Linked DNA regions of Arabidopsis thaliana. The protein of the gene in region 1 interacts with the protein of each later gene in a pairwise test. Each region holds a gene or a part of one and is shown on either strand. Other genes may lie near its edges.

What was found. The genes of interacting proteins can lie anywhere in the genome.
Region 2: the proteins of JAZ6 (region 1) and TPL interact in a two-hybrid assay, tested with the Arabidopsis thaliana proteins (one study listed by BioGRID).
Region 3: the proteins of JAZ6 (region 1) and AT1G01260 interact in binary tests that used the Arabidopsis thaliana proteins (3 or more experiments, as listed by UniProt).

What each region holds. Positions count from the first base shown.
Region 1 is NC_003070.9:27,273,442-27,278,495, forward strand, and holds JAZ6 (jasmonate-zim-domain protein 6), read right to left. Parts: upstream 3,122-5,054; 5' UTR 2,696-3,121; coding exon 2,542-2,695; intron 2,227-2,541; coding exon 2,103-2,226; intron 1,951-2,102; coding exon 1,624-1,950; coding exon of another isoform or gene 1,620-1,623; exon of another isoform or gene 1,100-1,619; coding exon 895-1,099; 3' UTR 527-894; downstream 1-526. Other genes in the region: EDA25 (CCAAT-binding factor), read right to left, coding at 1-155. UniProt on the Arabidopsis thaliana protein: Repressor of jasmonate responses.
Region 2 is NC_003070.9:5,414,995-5,422,817, forward strand, and holds the start of TPL (Transducin family protein / WD-40 repeat family protein), read right to left. Parts: upstream 6,040-7,823; 5' UTR 5,843-6,039; exon of another isoform or gene 5,580-5,842; 5' UTR 5,545-5,579; exon of another isoform or gene 5,438-5,544; 5' UTR 5,366-5,437; coding exon 5,286-5,365; intron 5,186-5,285; coding exon 5,006-5,185; intron 4,902-5,005; coding exon 4,788-4,901; intron 4,677-4,787; coding exon 4,518-4,676; intron 4,421-4,517; coding exon 4,243-4,420; intron 4,172-4,242; coding exon 4,048-4,171; intron 3,949-4,047; coding exon 3,667-3,948; intron 3,575-3,666; coding exon 3,465-3,574; intron 3,384-3,464; coding exon 3,314-3,383; intron 3,239-3,313; coding exon 3,165-3,238; intron 3,083-3,164; coding exon 2,891-3,082; intron 2,808-2,890; coding exon 2,445-2,807; intron 2,354-2,444; coding exon 2,213-2,353; intron 2,133-2,212; coding exon 2,037-2,132; intron 1,961-2,036; coding exon 1,814-1,960; intron 1,723-1,813; coding exon 1,612-1,722; intron 1,539-1,611; coding exon 1,359-1,538; intron 1,278-1,358; and 10 more. UniProt on the Arabidopsis thaliana protein: Transcriptional corepressor. May repress the expression of root-promoting genes in the top half of the embryo to allow proper differentiation of the shoot pole during the transition stage of embryogenesis. Regulates the expression of PLT1 and PLT2.
Region 3 is NC_003070.9:107,057-112,238, reverse strand, and holds AT1G01260 (basic helix-loop-helix (bHLH) DNA-binding superfamily protein), read right to left. Parts: upstream 3,294-5,182; 5' UTR 2,909-3,293; exon of another isoform or gene 2,834-2,908; 5' UTR 2,645-2,833; coding exon 872-2,644; 3' UTR 540-871; downstream 1-539.

The DNA of each region.
Region 1 (5,054 bases):
GTTTTGGATTTAGCTGGTTTTCGGAAATCAGTGTCGTTGAAACCCGAAGAAGGAAGAGCAGAAGCTAAGCCAATAGAAGAAGCGAATGATGCGATATCAGATGTGAGAAGACTCAAGTCCTGCGATGATTTACTCAAAGGCTTTATCTTTGACATTTTTTCTCAAAGCATATGAAGAGGGTTAAGAGAGTTTTGTGAGAGATGACTGTTTTTAAAAGAACTGAGACAGTTAGGTTTAAGCAATCTCTGTGCTTTGAGATCGAACAATGAAAAAGAAAGATAAACTTCAATGTTTGGGGTTCAACAGAAATTTTTAGGGTTTTAGAAAACGGCAAGAGAGAAGCAGACAGAGGAAATGGTAGAAGGCTAATTTCGTAATTACGGGATAAGACAAGGGCAAAACAGACTTAACGACCTAAAATCAATGAGACGATGTTTTTTCATTAAGGTTGGGTTCCTGAGACGGTCCAGCCCAATCGCTAGAACATTCAATGCAAATCCATAACTGGTGAGATTTCGATCATGTGGTAAAATATTATACTAATATCTTTGATAGAAACATTATATGTATATCTTTGAAACCTATTATAGGTTAATATACTTTTGCCACTTAGAAAAATTACTAACAACGCAAATCCATCACTGGTGAGATTATATCAGGTGATTAAAAAATTTCGATAAAGGGTAATCCAGATGACAATTTTAATTAAAGAATCTAAAAAACAAGTATCAAAATATGTATGTTTTGAAATATAAATACTAGCTACGTAATACAGTACTATAAATAACTTAAATTGGTCAAAAGTAATGGAAGAAAATATAAAAGGGTATTTGGGTTCAAATCCTAAATAAGTGAAAACTAGAAACGTGAACTCGATCGTGCATTTTATACGCCCTAAAGCTTGAGTTCAAGGTTTTTGGAAGATTGTCCTTCTTTCTTGTCCACCTCCATCGGCATATGGTTATGGGCCTTTGGTTTTGGAGGAGTTGCAATGTGTTGCGACGATTGGCCTGACTTTATCGATGGAGCAACCATCTCTGGCTTGGGAGGAAGATGACTACCGTGTTGGTTCACTTGATATGGAGCTCTAGCCACAGCCCTGAAATCAAAACAATTAATCAACATTTAAGACAAAGTAGATATTGAAGTTTTGATTTACAAAGAACTCTTAGTTAGTGTTTTTTAACTAGAAATTTCTCGACATTTTACTAATAATTTTCCTAGATCAAGGACACATAGATGATGGACTCATATCTCTTATATACTACTCTAGGTCCCATCTCGAATTTCATTGTAACTTGTAAGATTTTTTACATGTTCTTTATAAATGATGACACTTGAGTCACATCTCGAAATCTTACTCTAGGAATCATAATTCATAAACATACTAGGACCACCCTATGTTCAATTTCATGAATGTTCAACTTAAACTTGATTGGTAATACGCTTCTAATCCGATGTGGGATTCCTAGAATAACTCGAATAAGTCTTAATATGGTAATTATTAGCTATTTTTACATATAACTTTTTTAAGAAACTTTGATCCTAATCTATGCATACATTTTGACGAGCGGCCTAGAAAAAGCATAACCAAGCACAAAACAGTTTCGGAGTTTAGTTTACCTGTCTTTTCGTTTAGCAAAGAATCGATGAAGAGAAGCTCTTCTTGCAATGCGTTCCACAACCTGATGTTGCTGCCCAGTTTCTTGATCTTCATTGTTCCCGGAACTCGTTGGCTCGTTAAGATCGGGAATCACCACGTTGCTTTTGTCAAGATTCATGTGACTCTGACTGTTCTTAGAATCAACAGCAACATGATTCGCTTCTTTAGCTACTTCCATTATCTCCTTAGCTTTGTCTTCAGGAAACTCGTTGAAAACCATAACTTTTCCTCCAAAGAATATGGTCAACTGTGAATTTCCAGACTCCGGTGCTACTTTTGCCGGTTCACTAAAATCAAATCAAACCCATTTTTACAATTAGTCAAACTCCATAGTCCATACATCTATAACCGGTAGTTCTTTCTCTAATTCAATTGCTACAAAATGTGAAAACAAACACTTTAGGAGTTCGAATACATATGAAGTTTGTGTGTACAGTACCTGAGATCAATATATATGGCTTTGTCTTCGGTAGAAGTAGAGGCCTCACCAATAGAAAACTTCTGAATCAACTTGAACGGTCTAGTTTCTGAGGTCTCTACCTTCTTAATCACATTTTGTTGTCCTAAAACAAATTAGAACAGAAATTGCAAACCGATTAAAATTTATCAAAATCAAATTACATGTTTATTACGTTTTTTAAAAAACTTCACAGAATCTCTAACTTTAATATACTTAAGCTGTCCAAAATAATACCATGCTTAAGTTTAAAGAAAAGAAAAGAAAAAAATGATTTAAAATTTTGCATTTCAACAAAAAAAATATATAGTTAAACTTTATGCTAATAATCAACGAAGCAGGATACTAAAAGTATATGATATAAACTTTGGTCTTTATAGGCGGCGGCCGTCGGAATAGATAGGGAAAAATAAATAAATACCTTTGAGATCGAATTTTCCGGCGAGTTCAAGATCGGATTTTCGAGCCAACCCCATATTAATATTCCCAAAACTTCCCTTCTCCTTCAAGTACCGGCTGAGCAGACTACATCTCTGAGAAAAATTGGACTTCTCCGGCGCTTGTCCCGTTGACATACTAGTGTGATGAAGATTACAACAACCCAAGATTTTCTTGTGTGACTTCTTTACACGTACAAAAAATCGAGGATTCCAAAGAGTATGTAGATGTTTTGAGCTTTTTGCTCATGTGTTGTTGTTATAAATAACCAATTCTAGCCAATAAGTTTCTGTGGCTTTTAACCTCTCCCGAATAAATAAAGAAAACGAAATAACGTGTTCTTTTTTTTTATTTAGTCTGAAGTGACAGTGATGTGTGTCCAATATAGAATGTTTTTGTCACGAGTTTTGTAACTTTTTTTTTTACACCTAACTGATCGATAGACATTTTTTTTTTTTTTTTGAACACAAAACTGATCAATAGACTAAACACACATTTTTCTTATGATGGTTCAAGAAGAAGAAATTCTTTTTATGGTCAAACATATTATAGGCTATTAATTTCCTATATCCTCAAATGTTTTGTCACGAATAGAAATAGGGAAATAAATTATATGCGGAAAAAATGATTTATTCCTATGGTTGATTACAAAAATCAAACTACAATGTTCGTTACAAGTTCCGGCACGTTTTCATTGCACAAGCCGTGAAGAAACTGTTGTAAGTTGACGGCGACATTACATAAAGGCGTTAACCCATTTAATTCATTCGGGTCCCAAGAGTTTCTGTTAAATACTAATTTACCCTTCTGAGGTAATTCGTTTAGTGGTGGTTAGGATATTCGTTATTAAAGGGCGTAAATGAGGGCATTTGCAAACGCTATAGTCTAACGGAGTTCTGACGGAGTTAAGTCTCGCGTCGGCTGCGATGGCTAATACGAATTTAATATGTGGGATCCATTAGCAACAGTACGACTTGTGAGTGGATATTTATCGATGAATGGTGTCAATTACTTATCCCCGACAAAGTTTAAGGACACGTGAAGTATTGTTATGTGCGTTTAGGATGTCAACACGTGTCGGAATCTTGGCGGTACCAACCTTATTTCATGCATGATTTGCGTTTTTTTTCCCTCTTTGCTAAAGGATATTATAGCGTTCATACTTCATAGGCCTAATTTTCTTTTCTGTTTTTAATTACAAAAACTGAGTGTAATTAATATTAGAATTTGTGGTTTTGTATGTTGGTAAAAGGTTAACGATTTCTGTTTAGTCCTAATATGAATTTTGTTACTTGCTCAGTTAAATATTATTTCTATAACAATAATAATAATAAAATCTTTTAATCGTTTTGTTCAATGAAGTCGAGCGTTGAATTTTATTTGAATAAGAGGCAATGCCAAAGAGTACCAAAAAAGAATTTAAAACAAAATGTCGTAGACGATCGCGCCAAGGGAAAAAATCATTTTTATTGAATTATTTATCGCAACTTGCAAAATGAGAACATAATACTTTGAACTTTGAAGACTCTTCAATATCATATGATTTCAAGAGTTGAACAACAACTTGAGTCTAATATATACACATGTATGTGTGTATTTAATTACACAATATAGATCCATTGTCATTTTCTAATACATACAAAAGACCAAATAATATTCGCTATTTCACATGAAGATTATCTACATTGTTGGAAGCGCAAGTTGGGTTTCGATCACATATTTGATCATGTCCAAAATAAGGGAATGTCATATTCTAACAGATTTGATATGCAAAAATCAAGATTGTGAGAAGATTCTACTAAGACTACCAAACCAACGTTAACGGCAAAAAAGAAAAGGCAACGGCGAAACCTTCCGGTCACCACTCGAAGTTGGACTCTCCTTTAAGCAATAGAGTATATCAACATTTATCAAATAAATAGTTGTTGTTTTGAGACCTAAGTTCATATATGGACATAATCAAGATGGTGTCAACAGTTTTGGGTTAGGTGTGCTTCAGACTTAATCTTTGAGCTGGGTAAGATTTCCTTTCTATCTAGTGTTACGAGCTAGCGTGTCTCTGTAACAGGTTGTCTTCGGGTAAGTTTGGTCTTGCAGCTTGAGCTTGTGGTGGGAATTCTCTGTACAGTCGTTATCTTCATAAATAAAATGGTACTTATCAGAAAATAAAATAAAATTAGAAGACAATATTGAAAGATTATACAACTCATTTGCATTGACGTATGACAATACTAAACATAAAATTTGTTTAAAATTTAGGGGTAACGACTACGAATGTAGGTCCGTTTTACAACAATGACTAAAACAAATTGGTTCTTTGACACCGACAGATACTTTGGATGTGAACACCAAAATGTTGCAGCTTCTTCACATGCTCCTCTTGTACTATGACAATAACATATGTGCCTAAAGATTATCGCATATTAATAAGTATCCATTACATGCGGAACAGGAATAACATTTTTTCAACAATTGCATAATTGAAACCGGATAGAA
Region 2 (7,823 bases), about 22 Mb from region 1:
GGTCATAAATTTTTCTACCAAAAAAATAAGAAAGAAAAGACTTTTAAATAGAAGAAAGGGAATCAGAGAGGTAGGTGGCTCTCGGATCAGATCATCTCTGAGGCTGATCAGATGCAGAGGCTCCAACGGAAGGTGCAGTTGGTGCACCGCTAGCCGACCCGTTCTCAGCCGGTGGAGCGACTCCCCATTTACCTTCAGACTCGAGCGGTTCGAATATGTGCACTCCCCCGTCTGAGAGACCAACTGCAAACATGTTTGGTTCTTGCGGATGTGCAGCAATCACTAGTGGATGTACGTTTGAATTGCTGCACAAGTCAACAAGAGGAGCTTTATGATATATAAACAACTAACCGATTGATGTTTAGAAACGTTCTTTCCGAAATTTAAAGATTCCTCTGTTTTTTTGGGTAAATTTCAAGATTCCTCTGTTTACCTGAGACTAGCTGGTAGATACGCAGAAGGGTTGACCCGGCAACGCAGCCGTAGATTTGCAGAGCTAAATACACAAACTGTTGCATCCATAAAACTCGCGTAGACCAATTGGCTATCGCATGAGAATGTGGCATGAGTGATTGGAGCTAATGATTCTCGAACAGCCCACTGAAACATTGCAATCATTAATCATCTTTCAAATGCAATAAATTGCAGATCTTAGAGAGAGCGGCCTATAAATATAAAATACCTGTTTCATGCATTCGAGCTTGGTAGTTTCGTATATAGCAAGTTGCGTCTCGTGCACAACGAGGAAGTGAGCTTGATCTTGATGGAACTGAACACGCGTATCTGAAGGTGCACTGTTTGGTCTTCCCTGTGGAAGTGGCAAAACCTTGCTTCTCTGCTTTTCCCATCCATCTGTGTTCCAAACACAAAGCTGAAACAAAAACATTTCAAAGACTATTGATCTTTTCTTCATCGATTCTCAAAAAAAAAAAAAAAAATGGTCTAAGGCGGGAACCTGTGCATCTGCTCCAGACGAAACCAACACGTTTAATACGTTGGAGAAGGCAAGACCAGTTATTCTCTTTGAATGACCTTTAAGCTTACTCTTCACCTGCAGGAGCAAACAAGGAACATGATGGCCATCATATTAACAAACAAAACACTTCATCTTCTTTTCTACATTCTTCTCTTGAGTTTTGATGCATTACCTCATCAACACGGACATTATAAATCTGAATCGTGCTATCATCCATCCCAATAGCGATGATATTGTTGTCTTGAGGATGAAAAGCAAGAAAAGTAGCAGCCGGTGGTGGGGGCATGAAAGTCGCCATTGTCTGCAAATTATTAGCCAAGAACAGTCAGTCAAATTGCATACACAGAACATCAAAAGATCAGCATCTATGTGTCCCCATTACCTTAAACGTCATCATGTTAAATAAGGATATCTTTCCTCCGGAGGCTGACATTACATATGAATCATTCTTGGATAAAGCAAAACAAGGTACAGCTTCCTCGGGATTGGTTTCAGCAACATCGTTAGTCATGAGGATCCCACTAGCTGGTTGCCACTGCTGAGGCGGTAAAGAAGCTGTCGCCTACACGGAAAATCGAGATGTAGAGATCAGTGACACTTATCATTATTTGACTAAGAAAGAGTCTCAATTTCACCTTTCCAGTTGCGTTGCGCTCATTCCGCTGCCATTTCCATAGAAGATGAATTGCGTTTGATGCCAGAGCCAAAATAGCATTTCCCGAATTCGTGAAAATCAATCTTGATATCTGCCAAAAGTCATTGGTTTTATTGTCAGAAAAAAGAACAGCTATATATATATACCCTATACATGGCTCAGAAAATGTATATTTTATATACCTTGGCTACTCTCAGATTCTCAGGGAGTCTCAGTGACCTGCATTGAGAAGGCTCGCTGACTTCAGTAAGCTTCCATATCTTAGACTTATCATTTGATTCTTCTGTGATCACTGGCTTCACATCCACCATATTCCGCGAATCTCCATTCTAAAAAGGCAAGTGATGAATAATAGAAAGATAAAATAAAGTGAGTGAAAGAACAAAAAAGAATTGTATTTCTTACCATTCCTTGGATGGAAACTACATTGGCTGATCGATCTGCGTGACCAGCACTTGTTGCAGCAGCTGCCGCTGCCGCTGCTATGCTGTTTATTGCAGGCTGCAAATGTAGAATGAAGTGTTGACTAAATCTTTCAATTGGGTGTAAGTAATTTAAAGCTTAGCTTAGATTTTAAGTACCTTGGAGGATTCAGATGATATGTTCTCAAAAGTGTGCAATAGCCTTAGACCATCTGAGTTTGCCATAATCTTGATCACATTCTCGTTGCCAGACACGGCCAGGAGAGAGCCTTCCTTGTTGAACCGGATACGCGGGCTTGCCTAGTTTAAATATATTAGAAGCGCAAGTTAAGAAGAAACTCCAAAAGAATATCTGAAAACTTTTCTAGTTAGGCATTTTTTGTTCATGTACCTGGAGGCCTCCATCGCCATCAATGGCAGTTAAAAGCTGTACAGCGTCCATATCCCAGAACTTGATGGAGAAATCATCACCCGCAGCTAGATAACGGTTTTTAGTTGTATCAAACTGCACAACACCTAGAGAACGCTTGTGGAATCCTTGATAAGTTCTTTTAACAGCTCCTTCGCTTTCATTCCACTCAACAATGAAAGACTCTCCATCTTTACTCGTCCCACAAGAGAATAGCCTAGTACCATCGGCACTATAAGCCATTGTAGTACACCAGCGACCAGGTGCATCATAGTCAACTCGGGAACCCATATTATCATACAACCAAGCCTTAATTTTCCCATCAAGAGCTGTTGAAAATATGAACTTGATGACAGGAAAAATACAACACATCAAAAAACTGAAACATTTAATAGAAGGGAGGGAGATCAACGGTTAGCTAAGCTTACCTGAATGTTTTCCTTGTAATGAGGACAAACGGAATAAACAGGAGCTTCATGGCCTTCAAAAGTATGCCTTTTGACACCTGTTGCAGCGTCCCAAACCTTGATGGTTTTGTCATCACCACAAGTTATTACACATAGTTGCTTGTTTGGAGTCGAGAAGGAAATATCATTCACACCACCAACATGAGCATCAATCTGAAATAATCACAATATTACAAGAAAATCCCCAAGGGAAAAAACGATTGTTAAAGAGAGAGGCTTGTGAATGGTACGAGACCTCAAGGTGTTGCCTCATGTCTTCACCTCCGTGATAAGAGTATAGTTGTACAATATGTCTCGAGTAAGCAACTCCTGCAATTCAGAACGTTTGGTGACTTATAAAGTTGCATTCATGTGCAGATATAAATTTAAAGGCGAGTTCTTTACCAAACAAGGAACCGTCAGGGCTCCATATCACACGGTTGACAGAAACGACAGGTTCTTTCACCAGAGCAGCCTGAAGATACAACTAATTCAGTCACTGTAGATTCATAACATATATAAAAGTTAACATTTTGTTGTTGCTATGCATAGGCACCTGCAAGGGCATTGAACATTTACTCAAATCCCAGACTTTGAACGTCTTCTGTACTAATCTTTCGCGAGAACCAACTTCCCACAGCCCGATATCACCTACATTTGTACCAACTGGTACAACAATTCAAACGAATTTAGAAAATTGCTGATGATTATTATTATTATTATTACACAGAAGCACATACAGAGAGCAAGAAACACACCTAGAAGCAGGGTCTGTTTAATTGGATGGAAATCCATGCTCATGGGAGATGAGCCCTGACTCAAAGTTCTCGCAACTGTCTTGGGCAAGTCGTCAGGTGCTTTGAAAGCCGGAGAATGACCATGGGCCTGCCCTGAAAATGACATCGGTAACATGTTCACGCCTAGATTCACCTCGTCAGAGATTCCCATTGGTCTTGTTCTTTTTGAGACATGTTCAGAATCTGCTGACGGGTAGTCTAAAGAAGCATTAGTTGGAGGAGTTCTCGGGTGCTTCAACGCCGCTATACCAAAGATAGGAAAGGAGTTCCATTGTAAGCAAATTGCATAGATCACACAAAGTGTGTCTGAAGAAACATACACATTTGATAAGCAAGTAGTACCTGGGATTGATGGACCACCAAGTGCAATGGCTCCTGCTGAGACAGCTGGATGTGGGACAGAGGATGGACTAGACATCCAACCAGCAAGAGGTGTTGGAACAGGTGACGCCGTTGGTTGAAATGGCTGGAAACATAGAGACAATCAAACACTTGGCCTCAGGAAAACATAAATAAAAATGATAGAAACTAAATTACCCCGTGTGCGCCTAAAGGAGGAAATCCTCCAGCCTTTGGTATCCCTCCAAGCAGTGGATTGTTCACAGGAGATGGAGCTCGTGCGCCATTTGGAGGGCCACAAGAGTGATCCACAAAAAGAGTCTTGATATCTGGATTTGGCCTTGGATTTTTACAAAGCTGGTGTTGCCAATTTAAGCTGCGAGTTATGCAGTAACAAAAGATAGAATGAATTAATATGCCAACAACAACTTGAAGTGAATAAGACAAAAAGATTAAGGGACAAAGCAATAAACCTCTGGTTGATCAAAGTCCTCAGCCTTGAATTTCTAAGAGTAGGGAACTGCAATTTATCACGGAATAAAGGATTCGCCTCAATCAGCTTTTTGAGTTCCACCAACATGATCGCTCTTGCAGACTTGGTGTCCCCATACTTGGATAACTGTTCATTCTCCCTAAAAGTTGATCAAACTCGAAACACTTAATACTCTGCATCAATCTTTCTTTTGAACTACGGCTAAGAAAACAAAGGCTTTGGACACTACATTAATCCAATATAACATTACCGGAAGTTCTCCAATGTCAAGAGCTGTGTTATTTCCTTGAAAAGCTCCTCATTAAAAGTTGAAAACACTTTCAAATCCTTCACTAGTATATCCACAGCCTTGGGACGATCATGCCTACCAACAAAAAAGTCACCAAGGTCAATCACAAATCAGACTCTTTTTCTTTTGCTATCTCACTGAAAGGAAAAAAAAAAAACAAATCCCCAACCATGACTTACTTATCCAAAGCCTCGAGATACTTCTGCTTTCTTATCTCGAAGAATATCTTCATAGAGTATCTATTATCATCTACTTTAGTGAAACCAGAGAGATACTTCTCAACCTCATCCCAATTTCCATTGTGAACCTCATCCTCAAAATACTTCATATTGAAGAAAAACCCAGATTCTTGTTCAAGCCTGAACATGACAAAGCAATAATGCATTAACCAACACAAGAGCTAAACAGGTCAGTTGGTAAATTAGATCCAAGGAAATCTACAGAGCAAAAGAGACATACTTGTGAACAGTCTCTTTAAACTTCTCTTCATCGAGAAACTGTAAGATCAAGAAAACGAGCTCTCTACTAAGAGAAGACATGTTTTCTCTCACTTCCTTAAAAGACTTTTTTCTAACTCAGATGCACAACAACTAACCAAACTATCACCAGATCTGCAATATAAACAATGGCCGAAATGAGCTCAAATCTGAGTTTCCAGATTATGGAAATTAAAAAACACGAAAAGAGAAGTTAGAAATGAAAGCTAAAAACTTGGAACCTATATCTGAATAATTATCCAGAAACTTCGCATCTCTGCAGATAACGGCAAAAAAAAGAGGAAATTTAGGTCTTCCTGGAATTGGAAGATGTGAATTTAATAGCTTAAAAAAAGAATCTTTTTTTACTACATGAAAAAAGCAAATTAATTATCAGAAAGGGGGATGAAAAAATAAAGCAAAACCCAGAAAAAAGTTTGGGCAAAAGGATAAAAAAATATATACAATAAAACTCGAAACAGCTAGATTCCATTAACAGAGGCAACAAAGGTAGAAGAAAGAAGCGTGAAGCTTACTCACCATAAAGAGAGAGAGATCGATGAAGAAGAAGAAGAAGACCACAGAGACGAAAGAGGTGATGGATTGATTTTTGGACTCTTTTTCTCTCTATCGAAAAAAGGAAACTTGAAAGAAAGCAAAACTAAATTAAAAAGCTTCTTCTTCTCTCTCTCTCTCTCTCTCTCTATCTAGAGAAAAAGGGATTTTCTCTCTCTTCGAGATATATATACGGACATTAAAACTTGCAGAAATGGAGATTTTAATAAGAGAAGGTGACAGATAATTGGATGCTGATAAAATAAGTTAGCTATCACTCTAAGAAAAGCTAACTGCGATAAGCAGGAATGATAAGTAGAACTGCTTATAACTACGACTTGATCGGCTACATTTCTCGACGTTATCGGCTCGGAATATTAGTTGCCAGCTGTACTCCACAGAGGTGTGATCCACTCCTTCGCGATGAGTTTTACACCTATCTGGAAAACCGTCGATTTTGTCAGATGGCGCGGAGGACGGAGATCTAACGGCTAGAGTTTCATTCAATGTGTCAGACTTGTCTCCAGATCCCTCGTGGCACGACAAAGCTTTTTATATTGAGTCATTGCCCTCAAGTTTGACTAATATTTACGGATATGACATTGAAGAGCCAATTGCTCTTGAGATGCGTTAACTCATCGAACATCACGTGATGGAGAAATGTTCAACTCGTAAAGATGCTACGTCGTCTTTCTTCTCGGCGAGATACGAAATATGATTTATAAACTCGGTTTATCACGATTTATACGATATGGCTGATGTTCCTCATATAAAAAAAACAAGAACAAAACTAATACTACTAAATATTTCAATATTATAGTATTGTTTGAACATTTCTTGGTCCAACATGTTGCTGAACATTATCATTATTCTTTGATAATATTATTCTTTATTTTTAACTTTTTCATTAGAGGTTAATTTAGTGCATGATTGGTTGTGAAAAATGTAAACGTAAGGATGTGGATAGTAGTTCCTATTAATTCTTTGTATACACAAGAACCACTTGCATTGACTATTATTGTTAAGATGTTCGTGATAATTTATACTTTAGTTTTGTTTGTTTATAGATAGATTGCTACTAGGAGCAGGTGGATCGGAATTAGCTGGATTCTTTCCGTTTAAATAATAGCAGGGGAAGGAAGTACAAGATACTATAGCTTAGAAGTAATAATAACGCAAGGATTAATTGTAAATGAAACCGAATGTGTATTGTTGAAGTTATAAATAACATTTTTAAAATATATTAGAGGGGTGAAGATATCGATGGAGGATGGGCAATAAATGAGAGTTTGTGTAATTTAGAGTCGCACGTTTGAGTAATTTGACATCTATCCCGTCCAAACACAAACACTGTTGTCTCACCATCACCACACGTAAAGCGATAACATTTTCAAGTACAAACATAAATATGTAATCGTGATTTACGATTTATTTAATTTAGCGTGTGTGTCTATCTATTTTTAGTTTTTTTTCTTACAGTAGTTGTCCACTACGACTAGTCTACTACTAACCATCACGAATCGCGAGGTCATAAATCATAATAATAATTAAAAAAACGATATACAAGTACTGAAATTCTTTAATACGAGCAAAGCATAATATTTTAAGTTTATAACCAGTTTTTTTTTATTTTACTAAAGTGTAATATCATAACTGAGGTAGGTTGGATAAACTAATGAAACGAAGCGTTCAAACCATTTAAGAAACATGATAAGTATTAAAAATAAATTATACTATTAGAAATATCTTATATATCTTTAAATGTTAAAAATATTTTATTTATAAAAAATGATAGGTGTGAAGAATATATTTTTATATATTTTTAAAAAACTGGATACGTGTTAAAAATAATTTAGAAAGCAAACTGTACTTTGTTAAAAGCTTTAATCAAACAATATATATTGAAAAGAATCGTTATGAGCGCAACACAAATATATTCTAAACAAATTGATTGTAGTCTAATGAT
Region 3 (5,182 bases), about 27 Mb from region 1:
TTGTTGTCTCAATATATAACAAATCATGGAAGACTAGTAGCTAAGTTTTTGTTAGAACGATTAATTATCATTTAAGAGAAGAAAAAAAAACAATCTAACATGTATCTCTCTCTTTGTGTGACACTTTTATGATCTGCATGCTTTGTTCATGTTCTTTTTAATCGGTTTATTAGGACTGAGTTAGCTTAGGAAATCTAGAAAGAAACATCGCATTACCCTTTGACTCACAATAGAGAAACATATTAAAAACGTATTTACTGCAATCTAAACATCAAGCGGTTCCATGGTCTAGCGGTTAGGACACTAGACTCTGAATCTAGTAACCCGAGTTCAAGTCTCGGTGGAACCTATTTTTATTTTTGTTACATTTTCCACCTGTTTCTCTTCTTAAAACTTTTGTTTTCCCCAGGCGATAACGGTTTATGTTAGTTTGAACACTAAAAATGGTGTGCACGAACATCATAGTGTTTCCTCTTGTTCACAAGCAATGAATCAGCTGTGTTTTGTTGTTCTTGAGCAATTCCGTGACCAATCCATAACACTTATCTGACTTGTCGATTAAACACTTCACCAAATCCAACACATAGGACATATCAGAATGAATAAAGACTGATTCATGAGCTAGTCTACGACTTTAACAGATACAACATTATCGTTAATTACTTAATTCCCAGCTTTGTCCACTGTAAAACGAGTAAATGATAATGTCTACTTTTGTCAATAAAACTTCTAAAATCCTAGTTTGGAGGATTCTTACAGGTATATAACCAAAAAAAGGTAAAAACAAAAGATACCTAGAAGAAAAAAAGAACCATTCAAAACCGGTTCTTGATTACAAACTTACTTCCACCTTCTTCTGTCTCTCAAAAGGCTATCTACCTGATGATGTTCTTGACTGAACTGAATTTGTTTGCTCTCTAGACAAGGCCGATATCAGCTTCTCTTTCGTTAATTCTTCAGATTTGACTACAAACGTATGCAACACTGTGTCCTGAGAAACTTCCAGGTTCGAGTTTATCACTTCTACTTTACTCTCTTCAAACGCATGGAAGATTCTGGAAGCCGGATGAGACTCCAACGGACAGTTTATCCTCACTGTGACATCTTCACCTGAGGTTTGAACATTTATATCTGAATCCAAGCTGATAGGTGGATTTGAGCTATACCCTAACCTCTCTCTCTCTGCTTCCATGACCTTTAGCTTCGCGTGAAGCTCGTTTATATAAGAAACCGCGTCTCCCAACAAGGACGCTTTGTCCATCTTGGATATGTTGGGAACAACGGATCTCAGAGCGTAAAACCTCTGGTTAAGCTTCTCACGCCTCTGCCTCTCTGCTTCTACATGGTTCAAAGCTTCCGCTCTTCCGTTGGCAGGTCTCCTTCCGCGTTTTCTTGGTCTGTTGTTACCAGATTCATCAGCACCCACTGCATCTGCCCATTCCCCTCCTCCTTCTCCATCTGAATTATTCTCTGAAGCCCTTGAACTCGCAGCAGAGAAATCTATCTGCATTTGAGCAGGAGGAAGCAGCCTCTGCGATGATTGCTGCAAAGGTAAAAACTTGAACTCATCCGTGCTTGGAACTTCCTTCACGTTGATTGGCCTCGTGTAGTTCTCAGGTTGAACCCAAGTAGGACTCAGAAGAGTGTTGTTGTTGGTGCCTGGGTTCGAAAACATAAACCTGTTCCCATTATTCGGATAAGCATCTAATCTCTTGGGAGCTCTATCATCCATTTTTCTAACCGTGAGTTTCTCTCTAAACTGTCTATGCTGTTGCTGTTGCGGTGGTTGTTGTTGTTGTTGTTGGTGATGCTGATGATGTTGAAGAAACCCTGAATTGTGCAAATCCTTGCCGAATATCTTCGTTCTGTTATCATCAATCTTTTCAGCTACAGTAACAGGTAAAGCAACAGCTCTAACCGGAGGCAAACTACTGGTAAACAATGATCTTATAGACAAGATTGAGTCTTCACTTTCAGGCAAACATGAAGTTGAGCCTAACTCAACAACACCAAGATCAGTAGGAACCAAAACAACAGTCTGAATGCCAGCAGATTTAGCAAGAAACGATCTAACGCAATAATCAGAACCCGAATTGACGACATCGGATAACCAAACAGGTTTAGCAGAGGCAAAACACTTGCCTGGACCACCTTCACCTCGAGGGAATGAGAAATACATAGAAGAAAGAAGAAACATCTCAGTGTCAGTAACTCTATCTAGTCCTAAAGCACAGTTCTCTTCTTCTGAGCCACCAAACAAATCATGAAGCTTTTGCAATACTCTCTTTCTCATAGTCTGATGCGTTTCTTCTTCTCTTCCCATACTTAGAATCCTAACGATCTCTGATTTCTCTCCTTCTTTAGGCTCTCTGCAATATCCATCGCCCCAACAGAGAACCAAATCTCCGGCCTTTGACCTGGAAATCTGCCAGAAAATGGCGTAGTTCCAAGAGAAATTAGAAGCGTTGGGTCTCTCGACGAGATCCGAGAGCTTGTTCTGCAGATTCTCGTCGCTTCCTAGAGTCATCAAGAGATTAGCATTGGAAACAGAGTTGGAAAGCAAGTAATCGAGAGCTCGTTTGCCCAGTAATGACGCAACAATCGCTTTATCGTCCTCGTTCCACACTAGGCGACCAATATTCATCTCTGCTTTCTTTTCTTTTGTTGTTTGGATCCCAACAAAAAGGAAAGACTTTTAAGAAACCCAGATCTTCAGAAATCGATTCTTAAGTCAAATGATAGGGTTTAGAAGTGTGACCCAGATGCAAATATACGGCGGAGTATAACAGTTTTGCATGGAACACCCAGAGATCTCAGATCTTGCCCCTATTTTCTTTAACAACAATTAAATGACAAAAATCAAACTCCACCAACAGAAAATGAGGAATTGAGAAGAATATATTTTTACCAGTAAAGAAGATTTGAATCAAGTCTCTTCCACCGAGATTTTCTCCTCAAAATCAGATTTTTGAGAATCCGACCCAAAAAAAAACACAAATTTTAAATCTCCCAAACCCCACCAAAATGGACAAACAAATTACCTAAATTCCCCGAAAAAGAACCCTAAGAATCCAGAAAATAAAAAAAGATGTATCAGTTTCGCTGTATCGGCTCCCTGTTTTGTCGCCGTGGCCAATTGAATGAATTCAAGGAAGAGAGAGAGTCCGACGCATGTTCTTCGTGCTCTTTTTTATTAAAAGACCAAACCCCAACAAACAAAACAAAAAACAAAACAAAAAGACTTTCATCTGAACCATGGTTAGCTACTTAACTACACAATTGAGTTTAGAAACTTAAACCGGGTCTGGTTCGATTTAGTCTTTGTCTCGAGTCTTTGATACACGACGATTGAAAACCCCTTAGATTATGTCATGGTTTTTGTCAATAATTGATTGACATAATTTTCAATTATGGGTTTTGATTAATTAAAAATTTGCAACAGATCTATCTCAACTGGTGTAGATCTAAACAAATACTATCTGACAACTCGAGATTAGATTCTCATGTTCATGGAAATAACTAAAGGGGAAACCAAACCCAAATTTAGAAGTTTGCTTTCAATTTTTAAAATTTTTGTTTACATAATTGCAAAGTATGCCAACTAAGACCGGTGGTCAAGCACCGGGAATTTTGACCAAATCAATTCACATTCAAGTTAGGCTTAAATATTCGGTTTTTGTTGTGTTTTGTTTTGTTGCAAAGACTAAAGAGTTGTTCCTTAAGTTTCAAATGCTTTCAGAATTATACAAAATAAAAGGCTTATTTTAGTTTAGATCCTTGATTATTATTTTTGGTAATATTATTGATGGTGGTTCTACAACGGGAGTAAATAATTTTTTTAAAAACAAAACAAAAAAACAAATTACTAAATAACTTGATAAATGTTGACAAAACAATTCAACTCCTTTAGAAGAAAGGAAACGCCAAGTCGATAGAGAGGAGGGCGTGAAAAGCACGTGAAGTTCACGTGGATTTAGGAGAGATGACCAGAATGAGAAGAACGTGAGATGCATTTAATTTTCTTTGGATCTCTTTTTCTTTTTAATTTCATTTTCAAATGCGCCTGCACAGCTCTGCACTTTCTCTTCTGTAACGTTTTTTTTTTCTCTTTCTCTTTTTGTTTATTCTCTCGCAACCACAATTGAATTGTAATATATTTATAGCTTTCACTCTTTAAGTCATAAAATTATCATCAAAATATAAACTACGGCTCTGCGAAAATGAATATACAATGACTATATTATTTTGGAAAAATCTTTAACAAACGATAAAGTTAAAACAAAAAATTAGTATATATAGTAATTATGGAAAATGAAGTCACGAGTGGGTATAATATATGTATGGCGGTGAGAAACACACAGCAAAAAGTGGGGACCGCGTGATTCACGTGTTTAAACTATCCTTTATTCGAGACGTTTGGGTCCCATTCCCATCTAAGTCAAACAACGACGTCGACTTACAATATCTCCAAGTCGTCAAGAATATAATATGGGCCGATATTACAATACTGGTTTTCTATGGAATTCTTGTAATGTTGGGCCACATATGTGCTAGGTCAAACGTGATATCAGCCTTTTTCCCAAACCTTAATAATGCCCCCCATCTATCCCTTATCTAGCAATCAGAATTAGAATGGGCTGTTCAACGGACTCAGTCTTGAATTCTTAAATCTCAATCTTATCATATATTTCATTGGTTTTGTTTTACCACAACAAATCGGCCTATTAGTCCAGTTAACTCTATTGTAAGAGTTGATTTAATCCCGGATAAAGTAGTGCCGGTTCTTGGTGAACTTATTCTGAATGCCACTAAACCTATCGCTTTGTTTAAATTTGTACTAACAATATATCAAGTATTCATTTATCTTCAATAATGATCCAAATTGGTTTGATTTTCACACGTGACTGTAAACTCTAGCTTCAGAAACATACTTGCAAGTTGAAGTTGTAACAATAGTTTTTCCTTAATTTTGTTACCTTATAAAAAAAAGAAAATCCCATTTTGGCGTTTATAGTTGATATATTCATGTTACAATGAATTCCGTGTTTAACGTCAACAAAATCGTCACCTTTTTGGTAACAACCAAAAAAAACACAAATCATAAGATGACTACTTTAATCTACCAACAACTCACGAAAAGGAAAAAAGAACCGACCAAAACTTAAAGCTCATCGTATGAACA